3 linked regions of the Arabidopsis thaliana genome follow. The protein of the gene in region 2 interacts with the protein of the main gene of each other region in a pairwise test. Each region holds a gene or a part of one and is shown on either strand. Other genes may lie near its edges.

What was found. The genes of interacting proteins can lie anywhere in the genome.
Region 1: the proteins of AT4G11860 (region 2) and AT4G34560 interact in a protein complementation assay, tested with the Arabidopsis thaliana proteins (one large-scale study listed by BioGRID).
Region 3: the proteins of AT4G11860 (region 2) and AT3G50190 interact in a protein complementation assay, tested with the Arabidopsis thaliana proteins (one large-scale study listed by BioGRID).

The regions. Positions count from the first base shown.
Region 1 is NC_003075.7:16,505,607-16,510,331, forward strand, and holds AT4G34560 (uncharacterized protein), read left to right. Parts: upstream 1-2,009; 5' UTR 2,010-2,316; coding exon 2,317-2,982; 3' UTR 2,983-3,218; downstream 3,219-4,725.
Region 2 is NC_003075.7:7,132,618-7,140,758, reverse strand, and holds AT4G11860 (FAM63A-like protein (DUF544)), read left to right. Parts: upstream 1-2,248; 5' UTR 2,249-2,397; coding exon 2,398-2,596; intron 2,597-2,947; coding exon 2,948-3,066; intron 3,067-3,155; coding exon 3,156-3,262; intron 3,263-3,343; coding exon 3,344-3,431; intron 3,432-3,769; coding exon 3,770-4,475; intron 4,476-4,630; coding exon 4,631-4,861; intron 4,862-5,022; coding exon 5,023-5,077; intron 5,078-5,166; coding exon 5,167-5,248; intron 5,249-5,334; coding exon 5,335-5,415; intron 5,416-5,548; coding exon 5,549-5,662; intron 5,663-5,756; coding exon 5,757-5,806; intron 5,807-5,940; coding exon 5,941-6,061; intron 6,062-6,426; coding exon 6,427-6,522; 3' UTR 6,523-6,863; downstream 6,864-8,141. Other genes in the region: AT4G11870 (uncharacterized protein), read left to right, coding at 40-264; PLDGAMMA1 (phospholipase D gamma 1), read left to right, coding at 7,822-8,141.
Region 3 is NC_003074.8:18,607,562-18,613,467, forward strand, and holds AT3G50190 (transmembrane protein, putative (DUF247)), read right to left. Parts: upstream 3,702-5,906; 5' UTR 3,609-3,701; coding exon 2,989-3,608; intron 2,872-2,988; coding exon 2,444-2,871; coding exon of another isoform or gene 2,367-2,443; exon of another isoform or gene 2,037-2,366; coding exon 1,603-2,036; 3' UTR 1,508-1,602; downstream 1-1,507. Other genes in the region: AT3G50200 (hypothetical protein (DUF247)), read right to left, coding at 4,901-4,926, 5,093-5,762.

The DNA.
Region 1 (4,725 bases), 9.4 Mb from region 2:
ACACAAGAAGAGATAGAACTCAAGCAGATAGTCACAGTCCCAAGTCCCCAACCAATCAAATCCCTTAGAAGAAGACATATCAAACTTAGAAATCCTTCATGACAATGGATCGAGTAAGTCAACAATGAATTAAGCGACTAATATGTAAATATGATGTGTATCACTAGACTAGAGCGGTAGAGCCATATATTCCAGAATCAAATCAAAGCTACTTGCTCAAGGACCATATGTATATGACCTTTTTCTTTCCGAGGGGTCCATACGTATATTAATTTCACCTTTTTACATTTAAAATTGTGTTCAAGAAAAGTTTCATAAGCGCCAGAATTCTGAATAAAGGAGAGAAAATTTTGGATGATACAAAGTCTACGAAACAAATGGATAATCTAAAGAAATGGGAGAGTTTTATCAACTTAGCCAGCCACCACATAATTTGAAAATTTCTTTTATAGATCAATCATGTCCATAACGGAAAGTTTAATAGGTGACTCAAAAACTATCAAAAAGAGAAGTTAATTGCATTCTATTTACAAGATGGGGTCTTTCATATTTCGGAAAAGCAAAGTTAAAGTCCATAAATTATTAAAGAGAGACACCAAAAAAAAGGACAGAAAAGTGTATAATGTTGAGCTTGTCTTAGTGAAGAAGGAAATCAGTCTCATTAAGTGTTCCACATTTACAAATGGGCTTTCTGCTAGAAGATAATCTTATAAATCTATTGGCAATATATATCTGTATAATTTGTGGAATGTACATTCTAATGTTTTTTCATAGTTTTAAAACATGTATCTCAGATTCTCATAAACAAGTTATAGGCTTCAAATAGACAGGATTTTTACTTTAGTTTTGGGTTTGAGAGTTTAGGAGTTAGAAATTTATTAGATCATCAAATTAACTTAAAATTTTCAAACTAAAGACTGAAAAAAAGAGCTTCTTACATCCAAATCCCATCCATAATGGCCTTTCAGATTTTTTGGGGGGTTAATTTAATTGTGGCCTTTCAGTTTGCGCTTTCTTTTTTTTTAATTTCCCTTTCCAAAAGAGTATCAAAATGGGATAAAAAGAAAATAAGGTTATGACTGTTAATTTCCTTTTCTTATCGACCAAAACTTTCTGTCGACAACGCCTGTTCATATCTATGTCGTTTTTACAGTTGCATGTGTACGTTGTTAGACATAGAGATCTTGTTAGATCATGTGTACGTAATTTGACGACGTATGTATTCATCGTAAGTGATCATGGGATATATAGTAGGACTCTTGTCACTCTTGAATTAAGAAACATATTTTTTTTGTGCCAAAGAACTCTTTACATGCATATACCTTTAATTAGTTATTTAGTTTGTTAAAGATCCTACACTTGCCAGTTTCCATTTGTATTCTCCACTTTCATAGAAGGCTTTTTTAAGTAACTGCTTCTTCTTGTATTGTTTTGCACGCATCTATAAAGTGTAAACGCCAACGTTTTGATTACATATATGTTATTTTATTTCATCTTTGGATTAAACAAAACACACTTTCTTGAAACAAAAATATTAGTCTAAATTGAGCACGTAAAAATTGTACAATGATAATTAACCTAAACACGACAAAGACTATTACAAATCTTCCGATAAATTTATGCAATTAATCTTTCACATTAATTTAGTTTCATAACAGCGTCTTTAGATTTATCTAGAAGATGCACGTATATGTAGAAGTGAAGATCGAATAAATGATGAAAACAAATCAGGGAATATGAAGAAGATGTGATTGGTCATGAGTTACCTCATGGGCGATGAAGGAATAGCTAGGACAGCTTTTGGGAGCATTGAGAATAATTTTGTGGATAAAGTAAAAACAAAAGAAAGCAAATGCTGTTCACAATTATTTAGATGTTTTTTTCCAAAATAAAAAGTCTTGGGAGAATTGAATTTTCTACATTTTATTGCAATAAAATTGATTTAATTTAAAATAAACTTTTTATTATTATCATGAATATTTTTCATAGTCTATATATAATAAGCGTAAGCAACTCAATCCAACACCTACAAGACAAACCCAAGAAAAAACACACAAAAAGATATAACAAAACGGAGCAAATACATATTCCCCAATCCTCTGTTTTTCTTAATGAAACATACAAACTGGTCCTTGTTCACCATGACTATTGTTCTTCTTCCTTTGTTTAATCTCCTGATGACAAAACTCTCTGCTACTCACTTTGTTTCCGTAAATATCACTTCTTTCGAGTGACCTAAATCACTTCCACGATCTCTTAAAAAAGCTCCTTTTCTTGCTTTTTTCTGTGTTTTTCTTTTTGCAAGAATTCATCTTGATGGATCCAATTAAGTTTCAACACTTGAAGATGGAGAAATCCAGAGGAATCTTGAATTTCCAAGCAATAAGATCGTTCACGAGCTTGTTCAGACTGTTCGAGCTTCTTCTTCTTGTAATCTTGATCTCCAAACTCTCTTTCCCTTCTGTAAAAATCTCTGGGGACATTTTCAAGGAAGCAGCAGTGTTTCTCGTTAGCCCGAGATTCGTTTTCTTCATCGGAAACGCAATTGTAATTACTCTTCTTGCGAAATCCGGACGATACAGCTCGAGTCACGAGCCTTCAAAGACAGCAACAGAAGCTGCAAGCAACGATCTTTACCAAGAATTTCTTCACAAGAGTGAGAAGAAGAAACCCGTAGTTTACGCTACGAAAACAGAACAACTAAAGAAGCCGAGTGGAGGGAAGAGGGTTAGTTTCGGGAGAAGCCAATCGCACAAAGCGTTTGAGGCGGTTAAGCCGCTGGAGAGTACCAATGGTGAGAAAAACATGAAGAGGTATGTGTCGGAGAAGCATATGAGGGTTTGTGACTCCGACAAGAAAGTAGTGGTGAGAGTTAAGAAACCAGAAGATGGAATGAGCAACGAGCAATTTAGGACAAAGATTGAAGCTTTCATCGCTAGACAAAAGAGAATTCAAAAGGATGAAGAACACTTGATAATCTAGCTAGATCCTCTTTGCTAGTGAATGTTTTTTTTTTTTTTTTTTTCCTTCTGGTTATAAACTTGAATCCTCTGTTACGTAATCTTGTAACTTTGCCTTAGAAATTCTCTTTATCTTTTACTCTTGTAAACCTTCAAGGTTGCTTAAGTAAATACAACAAATGGTAATTAAAAACAAGATTTGTAAAATAGCTACAGAACCATAAATGATTTAATCTCTTATTATAAATACAAATGAAGAAGTTAATGAGACTAGTTATTCAAATGTTACGAACTCTCCAAATTAACAATTCGGCCATTGACATAGTAAGAATCCAGAGACGTGGACGTCAAAGCATTCCAACTAAAGTTTCTAATTCTATCATGCTGAATGTTGTTTGTATCGTTTGGATTCATGGATGAACCTAGATATTTATTATCTAGTTGGGGTAAAACTGAGTCCATCTGATTGATGTAACATTCTAATTTGTGTAATGTGGTGGTACATACGAGAATAAAGATAATTTATCCACTATCTATTAAAGATGTGTGAACTACTGAATAAGCGATTTTCAATATCATGGGATTGATGATAAAACATAGATAAAGTTCTCGTGGTAATTTAGAAAACAATTAATTAAACTTCTGATTTTTCCAAAGTAGAACTCAACATTTTGACGATAGTTAAATCTTCATACCAAAATAGGTTTGAGGACATACAAATGCATGGTGACGGTCGGATCACACACCTCGAATTTAGGTTTGATATTAAATCAGACGTGGTTAGTTACACTAAAGCATCGAATATTTGATATACCCACACTAGCTAATGCCTAATCTGGAGAGAACTAATAGAAAGTTAATAGGTAAGAATATAAATGGTGTTTCCAAATGCTGGATAGCATTAGGGTTATGGATAAAAGGGAATAGAATTAATAACAGAGGAGAGAATTGTTGGTACTGTATATGTCGTCACGTTATCGATCTTGGTCTCACTTTTATTGGGAATATATTTCAATCCCATTGCAAGTAGTGTAGAAATACCCATAACGTATTTATTTACTTTCAAAAATGTGCTATTGATAAGCCAACACAAGAGTATTGATTCTTTGATATTTTAACTAACTAGAAATAATTAGGTAGCGGACATATGCTCGAAATTTATGCTAAAACCTGAATTACGTAACACTATATTTCAAGCATGTCCGATAAGAACACTGGTAAAAGAAAATGTCAAAAACATTATGAAATCTTGATTCATATATATGTTTATGTTTAATAATACATAATTAACGGATTAATTTTACCTAATATATTTGGAGAACGGAGTGTGGTGAAATTATCTTACGTGTAGGAACCAAATATCTGGAAAGGTGAAGAGGCAAGATACGCTTGCATGAGAAAAGATTGATGCCAATCTACGAAGGATACACGTGAGATAGCCATTATAAACCTGTAAGGAACATATCGTTTATTATAAAATACTTACACTTCATTGTTTACTGTATTTTTTATACGTTCTCCTTACATGTGAGTAGTTATTTATTAATTGGGAGGAAAAAAGAAGTTATATTGTTTACCAGACAAATTTGTTATGAATATTTTAATTGTTATACTCCCTTTTTTGTGGATAACATGTATTATACAAAGGTTAAACTCTAGCGATGACACAACGATGATACTAACACAAAGTATATGTCATACATATTTCCTAGTTAAACATGCTGATTTAAATACATACCATTTGAGTTTAGAGTATTTAATATAA
Region 2 (8,141 bases):
TATGTATCAATTAACTAACTAATCTAAAGGGTTTATTAAATGATTATAGGTGGTGGCGGTGACTCTGGCGACTGCAGCGGCTCCGGCGACGGCGGTGACTTCGGTGATGGCTCCGGCGACGGCGGCGACTCCGGCGCGACGGTGATTCCAGCGGTGACTCCAACAACGACGGTGGTTCCAGCGATAACTTCGGCGACAACGACGGTGACAGCTCCGACGATGGCAGTGACTCCAGTGACAATGGGAACCCCAACAATGGAGTAATGGCTCAGGTGATGGCATTCATTCCGGTAAGGACGGTAACGGCGGCAGTGGCGGCAGCGGCGGCGGTGACGTCGAAGGTGGCGGCAGTGGCAGCAGCAACAGTGGTGGTGGTGGTGATAATTATTGTGGGGGTGAGGACAAACTTGTAATATTATATATTACATAATTATTATAGTGTAAGTTTTTTGCAATAGATTAGTTTCTTAATTAATAAGTTTTTTTTAGGTTATACATGCAAATTTCGCTTATAAAAATAAAATGATCAAAAAGAAAAGAAAAGAATGAATTAGATATAATGAATACTGAGAACAAACGAAGATATATGAACAAAAAAGTTAAAAATGTTAAGTTTTATGGTTTCTAATTCGAAACTAGTTAACAATGAATAAAGAGATTTATATTTTTTATACACTAGTCAAGTCTATTCTATATTTTTAATGTGGAATTTTTTCTATACGCTTCTTGGAAATAATGTTTTTCTAGTTATTTCGACAGAATTTAGTTTTTTTTTGAACTATTAATTAGTAAAGATGACCAGACCACTTTCCGGACTGGATTAGTGAATCATGTGTTTTTGGACTCTGATACCATGTTAAGTTTTATTGGTTTTTAACTCAAAATTAATTGACAATAAATGGAAAGGTCTATATCTCTTATATACAACTCAAATCTATTAGATTGTGCGGTTTCAACTCAAAACTAATTGACAATAAGTGGAAAAACTCATAACTTATATATATACCACTTAAAATTATACTCAACTTCTAATGTGGAACAATATTCCTAATATGCCTCATTGAGATCGATGGTTTTTCTAGCCATTGATCACGATATATTTGGTATAGATCGATGGACCAACTACTAAACCGGACCGATGTGTATTGGGTTGAATATCGGCTGACTCAAAATGATGCAAAAGCCATATGCCTCGAAGTTTTATAATTGGATTTCATCATCTATACGCGTGATAGTATAACAATTAGGTTTCAAATGGCCTGTTGGGCTTTTAACTATTCAATTACAGCCCATATATATAGTCAACATTAAAAATACCAACACATTGTCATTGACATGTTTGTACAAGCGTGGTCAAACAGAAATGATGTTATTCTGCTGCTTCATCAATTTATCTCCCTTGTGAATTGAGATTGATGGTTATAATGTTATGTTACTAACATCTTAATATATAAAGTTTGGTTTCTCAAAATTAGTCATTAATGTGATAATTTATAAAACATAATTTCTACAGTATTTTCATGTTTTTAATAAAAATACATGCTTATATATTGAAGTGAAATAATTACTAAACGGAAAACAATTAAAGTGAAAAAACACACCATTGTTTAGACGCAGGCCACACTTTTATTTTGGTTCTGTTTTTCGATTTAAACCTCAAACCTCATAATTCTTTAAACATTCAAATTGTCCCACCGTTTTTATAGATTCCTTCTAGATCGTCAAACACTTATATTCTTCCTTTTCTTTTTGTCAACACATTCTGACATTCATATAACTTTTCGTGTAAAACTATAATATAAATAAATGTGATAAATACACTTCTAATTCTTTCGTAAATGATATATCAAGAAATTTCCCAAAATTTTTTAAAATGTTACGTGTTATAAAGAAATTAATTAGGAATAAAAAAACTATTAAAAGATGACTTTTAAGGAAATGAAATGACGGTGTTATGATAAGAAATGAAGAATTTTATCATTTAAATTGACCTTTCCCCGAGAAGATACGCACTAAAGATACCCAATTGGTTTATCAAAACCGTAATAATCGAACCATAATTCTTCTCATACATCAAATACCGGAATAAATTTGAAAAATTGGTCGTTACTATATTTGGTTCAATAGCAATTTAAACAATACCGGAATTTCGATTTGGTACGTACCGGTTTGGTTATGTGACACATTTCAATATCAACCTTCCCATAAAAGTTCTTTCTCGTAATATAAATTAAATCCTCTTTGCTCTCTCGCTCGCTTCCTCTTTTCGATTTGGATCAGAAAAAATAAAATTTCTTCGGAATTTCCAATAATCTGTCTCTCTTCTTCTTCGATCGAAAATTTGACTTTTTTTCGAATTTGTTTTTTCATTAGCTTTGGTTGATATCATCATCGTCAATGGCGACCGCTTCATCTTCAGAATCTCCGAGCGAAGAAACGCAGACGAATCAAGAAGCGATGCAGCAGCAAGATTTACCGAAGGAAACTACTACGGAGGAGGAGATTTTGTATAAGACGAAATCGATTCAGTTCCTTGGAAGAACCACACCTATCATTCTCCAGAACGAAAATGGACCTTGTCCTTTGTTAGCCATTTGTATGTTTCTATTTTCTCCTTTTTCGTCCTCATAAAACTTCATTCAGATCGTAAAAATAGGGTTTGGAAAGTGGAATTTCGGTGTTATGATCATTGATTCTTTAGGTTTGCGTTACTGATTTTGTGGAATTTGTAAAAGAAATTGAAGAATCGGTGTTAGGTTTGCTTGTTCCGTACAATGTAATGAATCATTGATTTGATGGTTAGTGTACCGAACATCAGATTTTGTTGTTAGCTTGAGCTTCTCGTAGAAATGACAAGTGTGAGAATTTGGTATTTAGTGTGCTTAATAATACTTAGATCAATTAACACTTTGATTACTGATTGTTATTTGATTTTGGGATGAAACAGGTAATGTGCTTCTCTTGAGAAACAACTTGAATCTAAATCCTGACTGTTATGAGGTTTCTCAAGAGAGATTGATGTCCCTCGTGGTCGACAGACTCATTGATTCCAATAGTAAAGTCAATGTAAATAAGCTGGCTTCTTATCTTTGCCTGTTCTTTATATTATCTTGTGGCTTGAATCTATGTGAATCTTTTATTCTTCTCAATGGCAGAACAAAGATGAAGGATATATTGAGAATCAGCAACAGAACATTGCTGATGCAATTGATCTTCTTCCACGCCTTACTACTGGAATTGATGTCAATATTAAATTCAGGAGGTTAATACTTTGTCAGCTGTTTCTGCTTATAATAGGTAGAAATTCATAAGTTAATTATCATGAGTGTTTACCTGGTTGCAGGATTGATGATTTTGAGTTCACACCTGAATGTGCAATATTTGATTTACTTGACATTCCCTTATATCATGGATGGATAGTTGATCCTCAGGTATATCATTTTGTTTCATACTTTATCAGAATGGCTCTGTCTGCGCGTAAATAATTAAATTTCATTAGTATAGGCTGTTGACGTTTTTTAATTTCGTTCCTGTCTTTTGTGTGTGGATGTTTGGGATGTGGGGTCATCTTCTCTTCTTTATCTTCTTGAGAGTTGAGAAACAAAACATAGGTTACTTTATTCTTTTTATCCATTGTTTGGCTCGTTTTAAGATGGATTGGAACAGTGGTCAAGAGCACTCATTTTAAGATGGTGTCCTTATCAATCCTGGGCCTGTAGTAAAACTGTAAAAGTATTGATTCAATTGTTTCCCATGTGCATACCTACAGGATGTTGAAGCAGCTAATGCAATTGGTAGCAAATCGTATAATGCTCTTATGGGTGAGCTAGTTGCACTGGAGACACAGAATGTAGAGGCTCAAGGCGATCAAAATCCCGGAGAAGATTCTGTTGATTTTGCTGCGGCAACTACTGCAGTTTTAGGGGTTCCTTCACCTTGTCTTTCGAAAACAAGATCTTTTGATGATTCTCCACCTGCGGCTGCAGAGCTTCGTAGAATGAGAAAGGGGGATCTTGAAGAAGAAACAGAGTTGTTGCAAGCCTTGCAGTTATCACAGGGGCAGGGGAATGATCCAACTCCAAACACTAACGGAGACTCAACCAATCAAGATTCTGCGTTCACATTTTCAGATGCGAGTCCAACTAGCACCCATATTACTAATATCAGTCAGCTAGACCAGTTCAAAACTGATGATGATAAAGCATCAGAAAATGATGGGAATATGATCAAAGTTGGGAAATTTCCGACAACGATTACAACTAAAAGTGAGGATCTTAACCATGATCAATTATCTTCTAAGCAATCTGGAGGTGAAACGGCTTGTGATGTTGAGAACGTGAGTAGCAGCAAAGAGGCCATTGTCGATGTAACTTCTTCTGAGGCACTCTCTGTGGATAAGGGTAATCTGGAGTCAGCGAAAAGTGAAAGCAGTTCTGAGAGTGTACTCAAGTCTGATGCAGCTTCTATTGATCCAGGTAGTTTTTTTGACTCTTCCTTAGTTGGTGTAACCTTATAGATGTCTCTATACATAAGTATAGTACTCCTCCATCTTAATCATTTTACTGGCTAAAATTGCATCTGAAGATATTAGATAGGAAAATTCTTACTCAGATACCCATTGCATCTCCAGATTTGAGTTGCAGATCCCAGCATGATGATGCACCCAACGCTTTTATCCCACCTGTATCTACCGATGAACCTATGTACGAAGGTGAGGAATGTGTAAACACAGTGCCTCCAGTTTGTGCAGACAAAGAACCCGTTTATGAAGGTGAGTCACTTCTTGGTAAAAGGGTTGAGAAGGATGTTGGTGATTGTTCTTCTGAAGGGAGGGCTACGGATGGGCTCACAGCAGAAGAAGGTAAATTATACTGTGTCTGATCTACTTGTGATACACTTGAAATACATTTTCGGAAACTCATACATGCATGCCATTGTGGTTAGAGCTGCTCTCTTTGCTCTAGTTCACATTTTTCCATATATTCTTGCAATTATTAAATAGTTGTTCTTGAGTTTTTCCAGGTGAACTAATCAGGAACTTTATGAAGAATAGTGCAAGTCAATTAACCTTTTGTGGGTGCGTGATCTTATTCATAGTTAGGAAGTTATATTTTAAATTGACTGCTCATGTATTATCTTACATTGATTATTGATCATATCTTACAGACTCTTTCGCTTGCAAGAAGGCCTCAAAGAACGTGAACTCTGTGTTTTTTTCCGGAACAATCATTTCTGCACCATGTTCAAGGTTTGTTTAGTTTGCGGTTATTTCCATCTTTGAATTGCAACAGGTTAATCCCAACTAAATTCTTCTTGTTGCTGTCATATTTTCAGTATGAAGGTGAACTTTATCTTTTGGCTACAGATCAAGGTTACCTGAATCAGCCTGATTTGGTTTGGGAAAAACTAAACGAGGTATCAGCAAAAGTTACTTACTCACCATTTGTCTTATCTGCTAATTTTGGCTTCTTAGGAGATATCTCTATATCCACAATCTCTTTAGAGCTATGGCTGTTGTGACCACTATTGACATGCAATCTGGTTTCAGGTTAATGGTGACACTGCATTCATGACTGCTACCTTCAAGGACTTCACGATCGACAGCAGCACAGGTGGTGCAAGTGGCACATGGGATGAACGAAACGCAGTCACAAATACTGCTGTATGTTCTCCTCATAATATAGTCACTAATCCACATTAGATCTCCTTCTTTTACCTTTTTAATCATTTTTTTTCTTTTGGTTCTCCCTACACAGGATTATCTTGCCAGCATCAACAATGTAGCGGATGCAGGCATAGATGTCAAGTAAATATTTCATACCTTTCTTTGACCACTAACCCATTGGTTCTCACCAGAGACACATTTATGCATTTGTTATAACTGTCCTCTTAAAAACATATTTATGATTGTTTAATTTTAATTCCCATGGTACTATGCAGTTCTGATCTGCAACTAGCAATAGCTTTGCAACAACAAGAGTTTGAGGACCAGAGCCCACGTAGTAACCCAACTCCACAACCAACTAGCGTTGCTGCCTCACGATTGGTCACTGGTCCACAGGTATTTCATTCCTACTCATAACACTATATTCTTAAAAAGCAGGAATCGACACAAATGGTTAACAATGATTATAAGAAAAGGTAAATTACCGTGTGACCTGCACATTGCAACAATATACAACACTGATTATTAAAATAGTAAGAGAGTATAGCCTTAACAAGCACATCTGCAAGTCCTGTTTAGTACATTTGTTTTCTGTCCATATACTTTACCGACTAAGATGAGTTTACAAGTACCAATTGCGAGTGTAAAACATCGATAATGATCATACACCGTAATCAGAAGCTCATTGAATATAATGCAGCCTTGCTTCTTGTGGTGTTTGGATGAATGTTAATGATCAGATATTGTACTGACCATTGCAGGTACCAAGGAGCAGCCACAGGCCATCATCAGCTGCGTCTTCGAGACACGACGGCAAATCCCCTAAAGATAAAGATAGCAAATGTAGAATCATGTAAATCCTCATTTCACTTATGTAAATTTCCAACTTTTTCTTATTCCCTAACTAATTTTAATCCTTAAAAGCTTTTTGGTTTTAACAAAAAATAAACTGTAATTGCGCTTTGACTAAACTATTTTTTGTTGCTCATAAAAAATCAGAGCTTTTCTTTATCCTTTTGAGAAGTGGGAGACGAATTAGAGTTTGTGTTCACGTTTTGGCTTTCGTTCTGTTAAGTTACTCTGATCGCCGTTACTTTTTTGACGGAGTAACGGCTATTGTCCGTGATGCCTTTTATAATAATTCTGCTTAGCCGGCTCGGTTTGACTAATCGCCAACTTTTTCAAGTTGTAATCGGAGAATGTGATTATTAATCCCTAATTAAAATACTTTTTATCTGCATTAGCTAATCATTTTGACTAGTTATAAACTTAAAATAATAAATAAATTATATCCTAATCCCTCAATTCGAATTTCAAACTAGTTTGTATTTCTTTACAAGTTCAACTTTTTTCTTTTCACTATAAGATAATGATGTGCTAAGACCACGACTGATAGATAATATGAATCCACTAGAGCTGTTGAAAATTATAGTTCAAAATTGAGGAAGACTTCAACAATGAAAATGTCTTCTCCATTGAAGAAAATGTCTTGATTTATTATTCAATACGCAATTATATGGTTTAATTTAGTGATTTTTCGAATGTTTACTTCTTGTTGATAATAAATATTAAATAGTAATATGATTTCATTTCAAGAAAATGTCATGCTTAATTATTACTTACACTATTAAGTCGAATGTTTAATTTCTAGTTGATATATAAAAATAGTAACATCACCACTCAAATGAAGTTGCATCAAAAGAGGGACCAGAGAGAAAGAGTTTCGTGAGCAGCCAACAACCAAAGTGGAAGTCCTCTTAGTCGTCGTTACTAAAAACAAATAATTTATTAGTTTAATTGAAGATTAATTTGTGTTATTAATGGCTAAAGTTAGAACGATTCAACAACGGCAGCCAATATCTTTAAAATGTTCCGATTCTTCCGTTTCAAGTCAACGTTCCCTTCGTTTCCTCCCACCTTCTTCTTCACAAAAATCTGAGATTTCATATAAATTTGCCCATATTTTTAGATCTCCATTTGATCTGAGTTTGTATTATCACAAAGTTTTATCTTCTTTTTTTTCACTCTTCAGTCTTGATCTCTCGATTATTGCCCACCAAGTGATCGATCTTTTGTCTCACTGAACTCGGTTACGCTTGAGATTTGATCTAACAGCTGAAAGTTTCTGACTTTTTGGGTTTTTGATTTCGATTTTCATGGCGTATCATCCGGCTTATACTGAGACTATGTCTATGGGAGGAGGGTCAAGCCATGGGGGCGGCCAGCAATACGTGCCGTTTGCTACGAGTAGTGGCTCTTTGAGGGTCGAATTGTTACATGGTAACTTAGACATTTGGGTTAAGGAAGCTAAACATCTTCCTAATATGGATGGTTTCCATAACAGACTTGGTGGGATGTTGTCTGGGTTAGGTCGGAAGAAAGTGGAAGGTGAGAAGTCTTCTAAGATCACTAGTGATCCTTATGTTACTGTCTCTATCTCTGGTGCTGTGATTGGTAGAACTTTTGTTATTAGCAA
Region 3 (5,906 bases), on a different chromosome or scaffold from region 2:
TTCCCTTGTTTTTGCTGGTTAAAAGCTTTTTCCAGAGATTGAGAGCGAGACGTAAATTGGGAAATGTCAAAGCAACGCTGTAACTAATCTTAAAGCTGTGAACTGGCCATGTGTTTGCTTATTTTGAAATCTACAAAACTCTTATAAAAAGACTCTAATAAATGCTTCTAGTTTATACTATATCCAACGTGTGAGATTTGAATTTGATTAATTAATTTATTCTTTTTCTGCATTTCAACTCCAAAACTCTCATTAAAAAAGGAAAAACTATGTACTCTTAATAAATTTGTCGACTCTCATATATAGCTTGTAGTATATATATATATATTCAATAACTACATAAAATAAAACAAAGTCATGAGAAAAAAAATGTTACCAAAGTTCAACTATTAACTGATTTCATTTTTCATGTAAAACTAACAATTATTAGGAGACGAAACAAAACAAAACAAACTGTACATCCAGAATATTAAATGCAAATCTTTTTTTTAAAAGTTATTGTATAACAATTTTATTTTATAAATTATAGATGTGAGTTTTATATATGATTTCTCAGACATTCGAAGAATCAACTATGAAACTAATATTACAAACAAACACACCCTTTTTTTCTTTAAACAAATCGATATGTATCGATTAATAATACAGAAGAGGAGAAGCACATTACTAACGAATTAAACTTGAAGCTGAAGTTGGTGGATTGTGTACAGAGAAGGTGAGAGATATCTGTCTTCCATCACATACCAAAGTTGGTCTGGACTTTACTCACGAGATGCTCTCCATAGACAGCTCTTTTGAAAACTTGGCATCCTCTTCTCCCTCCAGGGTACTTCTGTTTACATATACCCAATGGCTCCACTACCGCGTCGAAATTAGTCTGTTCATTCAAATTAAAACATGATTCCAAATCCAACAGTGGAAAAACACACCAGAGTGTTAAAAGTTTTAAACCTCATAGAAGGATGCAACACAAACACAGTATTGATGAGAGTTATTGATCATTCTATGAAGTGTGGATTTGTATACTCCGTGTGAAAGTATCTGCATTTTATGATTCCAAAAGGTTTTTCAAAAGGGTATTCAAGAGCAGGGCTTCCCCTGGAATTTTGGGTGCCAAATGCACCCAAAAATATTTAAGGTTATTTCAAAAGATTTTAAAAATTGAGGCCAACTAGAAAAAAATAAACAAAATTGAGACCGTTTTGTAAACAAATTTTCAGAAGAATTTCAAAAACAATTTCAAAAACATGTTTTTTGATGAGGTTCAGGACCGGCCATGTTCAAGAGAATGCGTTAAAATTCTCACTTTCTTTCAACCAAAACAAAGAGATAGAGAGATGTGAGTGCTTGAAACAGAGAATCAAGAGAGATTGAGAGACAGAGAGTACATAGGGATATAGTTTGAGTTCGATTAGGTTACTCTGTTTGTGCCCCCTAATAAAAAACCATGTCCATTATTGCTTAGCCACCGAAATTAACCTTCTTAAACTTGTTTTTAACAACAAAATATTATTCCAAAACCAATTTTGGATAGAAGAAAATAGGAAATGTTGAAAAACAAGAAAATGCAAACATTCCAAATTGAATGAAAAAGGACAAAAGTTAAGTGTTTGGCTCAAAATAAGCATAAACAGTAAAGAAACTCTCACAAAATGTGAGAAGTAGCAAAATAACTGCACCAAAAAAGGAAAAATATGCCCAAGGACTTCTAAGGTTGAGCTGGTACTTGTGTAATATGACTGCACTAAACAGACTCCACTTACGACTGTAAAAACGGTCTACACCAAGACAAAGTGGATATAGATAACTATCAATGGGATCGAAAACCACGTCTTGACATAATTTGTGGAACAAATCCACAACTTCAGAGTCACTCTCAAGCCAATGCTCGATGATACCACAATATTGCAAGTATCTAACATCTTCGTTAGAATTTATTAGATTCTCCACGAAAATTATGTAGGATGTTATCTGTTTGGTTGAGTCGATATGGCATTGCTCAAAAGCTATAAGATTTGACAAGAGAGACTTGGTACCTACAATAAATATGAAAGAGGTTCGTATGTTTAATTTTAATAATGTGATGGTTCTGTAGATAAATTTTTGGTTTTAAAGAGAACATATGTGGGAAAGGAAGGAATAAAAGAGTAGGAAAGAAAATAAAATAAAAGTTCTAACTTACCATCATGGGGTTCTCTAGGAAAAATAATGTATACGCCTAAATGGCTAATCATTCCGAATTGGTGAAATAGGCAACAATTGATGTCAGTCTATTTACTTTAGCGACTTGTGGGAAAAATCTGAACAAAACCAATACATGTCGCTCTATTTGGTTTTGTACAAAATCATTAACATGCAGATAGGTATCACGTTTGATTCTTAGGCGACAACAATATAAGCAAAATATGATTTAAAACTAATAAAAACGAAAATGTGAACTTACCGTCATGGATAAGTAGTTTCGGTATCTCTAGACAACCGTTTTTGAATTGAATATCCCATAACCGGTCGGATTTTCTTCTTTTGAATTTTATACCGGCTTCTCTTAGTTCTGTCACGCAATGTAGCAATTTTTGTTGGCGCTTGTCCGCCACGACGGGTTTCCAGGACCATCTACGCGATAACCTTGGCTCCGGTTTCAGACTAGGCTGGAGCACACTTCGACGGAAAACATCCAGACAGTGCAACTCTTCCTTGTCCTTGTCAGCAATTGGGTGAAAGAATTTATTGTTGTTTTCTTGCGAATTCTCGATTTTGGTTGATGGCATATAAGTTGGCATCAAAGGAAGTTGATTTTCCAGCATTAGCATGTCACGTCGAATCGAATGCATAGATCCTCGCATCGCGAAAACAGGGTCGTTTCGATCATAGCTACACACCAAGATAAAAAGAAAAAAGTTAAAAAAGAAATAAACGAAAGTCAACATTTAGTTTAGTCAACCGGATCTGAAATCAGTCCGGTTTAGCATAAAGCTAAATCATGCTTACCCAAGTTTCGAGAATCCTTCATAGGCTCCTCTGAAGAGATCGAGAACAAAACAGCCATCAAGAACTAGCATTTGGGTGAACTTGTTACTGCTCAAACCAATAGGACCTTCGTAGCAAGCACGAGCCCTCTCTTCGAGCTCTTTCATGGCGTCAATATACATTTCGATGCCTTGCTTGGTACGTTTCATGACCATATTGACCGCACGCCATTTGTGATAGTCCATGGGTCGGAGATGTTCGTCCCCATGGTGGTACGGACCAAGAGAGACAGTGTGAGGGAAGTAGGAATTCTTGTCGCTTTTTTGAAAGGAGAGTGGAACTCTGTAGATACAGAGCTTGTCCCAGCTAGTTGTGGCGGCGTCTCTCATTACTTGCTCCATCTTGTCTTTGATCCAAATCACCCATTCTTCCCGTGTCTCTTCAGGTTGTTGGTTTCGGGTTTGGAGTTTTTGGCGCATCATGAAGGTGAGGAAGTACCAGGTCAACATCGGTCGTAGTTGATAATTTCTTCTTGCTTTTCTTCTTATGATAATATGAGGGAAAGGAAGCTTCGGTCCAAATGGTAGCTGGGGCGGCGGCGGTGGTGGAGGTGGTGATCGTCGTTTACTAGGAACTGCCATTTTTGTTTTGTTGAAGTATTTTAGGAGATTGAGACTTTGAGAGTGACTGGACGCTTATATTATTGGACTTGTTTTTCTGTAATGACAACTACCAATATTGACATCTAATCATACTTATACTTAAAATGTGTTAAATAATCGTTAAACGTATTGGATAATGAATGCCTAGGCGAGCGATGTTTCTTTGACTTTTCTTCAACTACTCTTGATAGAAACAATTACTCTTATTAAAAAAAAAAAAATGTTGAGGTGCTCTTATAGAAAGACTACAAGAAAGAAAGTCTTAAAGAAAGACTACAAGAAAATAGTCTTATAAGAAAAAATGTTGAGGTGTTTCTTTCACTTTTGTAGTTTTTCTATAAAAGCATCTCATTGTGCCGTGTGCCGCGTTTCCTAAAAAATAAGAAACATTTGTAGTTAAGTATTGTTAGAACATATTACTATTTTATAAATTTGTTATCAAGTTATTTTGTGTACTACACTTTGCAAAATGTTGTTGAATGGTAATATAATTATCAAACCACTTTTAAACTATTAATTCTGAAAATCAAATAATAAATTTATATTAAAGGATTAGATAAATTCACTTCTTTCTTTCGCTCTAAAGTAACCAAAGATTAGATGAAAAGAAGAACATGGTTGCTTAAGAACGAAGGTAGGGCTTTTGCTTCAGAACAATGTAAGAAAAATAGGGTTTCTATATTAAGTTGCAGATGATTTGAATAGAGGACAAATCCCTCTATTTATACAATATTTAGACAGTTTAAGGATATGCTAAACTTTTAATTATCTAAAGATTGAATTTTCATTCCTTCCATTTTTCGTGAGATCCTCCTTTTTTAAATGGAAGTCTTCTCTTTTTCGATTTATTCACAATCTCTCTGGTTTAAGTCGGTATTGTCGAATGTGTTAATTCATGCACCAACATAAACCACCGGTTCCACTGGTCTCATTCATAGTCTAAGACTTGATTATTCTGAGATGTTAGTTATGCTTACCCACCAAATCAACGTTTTTAGTATTGTTTTTCAACAACATTCCAAAACCCAAAAATTACAATACCAATTTTGAAAAGAAGAAAATAGAAAATGATGGGAAAAAAAACAGAAAAACTTAACATTCCATATTAGTAAAAACTATATAACAAAACAAAAAACAAAATTAAGGGTTTGGCTTATAATAAGCATAAATAGAAAAGAAACTCTCACATAATGTGAGAAGTAGCAGAGCAACTGCAGCAAAAAATGAAAAATATGCCCACGGATTATTAAGGTTCACCTGGTACTTGTATATCAAGATTCTCTTAAAAACATTCCACCTACGGTTAGAAAAACAGTCTACATCAGTAGACAGTCGAGATAGATGACTATTTTGGAGATCAAAAACTACTTCTTGACATAGCTGCTTGAACAAATTAGATTTTATACAAACATATGTGAGTAATGAATAAAAAGTAGGAAAGAAATGAAAACTTTTTAGCTTACCATCATGGATTAGTAGTTTGGGTATTTCTAGATAACCATTTTTGAATTGAATATCCCAAAACCGGTCAGTATTCCTTCTCCTGAACTTTACACCAGCTCCTCTTAGCTCTGTCACGCAATTTACCAGTTGTTGCAATCGCTTGTCCACCACATACGTATTCTTAGTCAACCTCATTAGTCTAGATCTTTGATTCGGTGTAGGATTAGACTGGAGCAGACTCTGACGAAATACATCCAGACAGTGCAATTTGCCCTTATCGTCAAGTATGTCCAATGATTTTTCTTGCCCGTTCATGAGTTTTGGTTGGTCAACTTCGGTCAACGTCTCCATGCAGAGCTCTCCCCAGATCGTTGTGTCGTCGTCTCTATGTGCTTGATCGAGCTTGTCTCTTAACGATATTAACCAACTGTCTCCTGTGGTCTCTTCCGACCTCTCTCCTATCACCTCGATCTCACAGAACACGGAGCAAGTCTGCTCCTGACTCTTATAGTCTTGGTCTTGACCCGGTCTGGTAATTTCCTCTGTACCTCCACATCTCTGAAGAGTCAATATTTCGGCTAAACCATGGAGGTTTTGATCTTTGACTGGTTCGGATAGTTGATTGTTGGTGAACATGTCTTTGTTGATGAGAATTGGTTGGTCATTGGAATGAACATTAACTAAATCCATTGTTGGTTGAAGCTTTTTCAGGAAATTGGGAGAGATTGTAATTGTGAGATGTTTAATGCAACGCTGTAACTAATTTAAAGCTGTAACTTGGCCATGTGTTTGCTTATTTTTTCAATCAACAAAATTCTTTTAAAAAGACTTCCT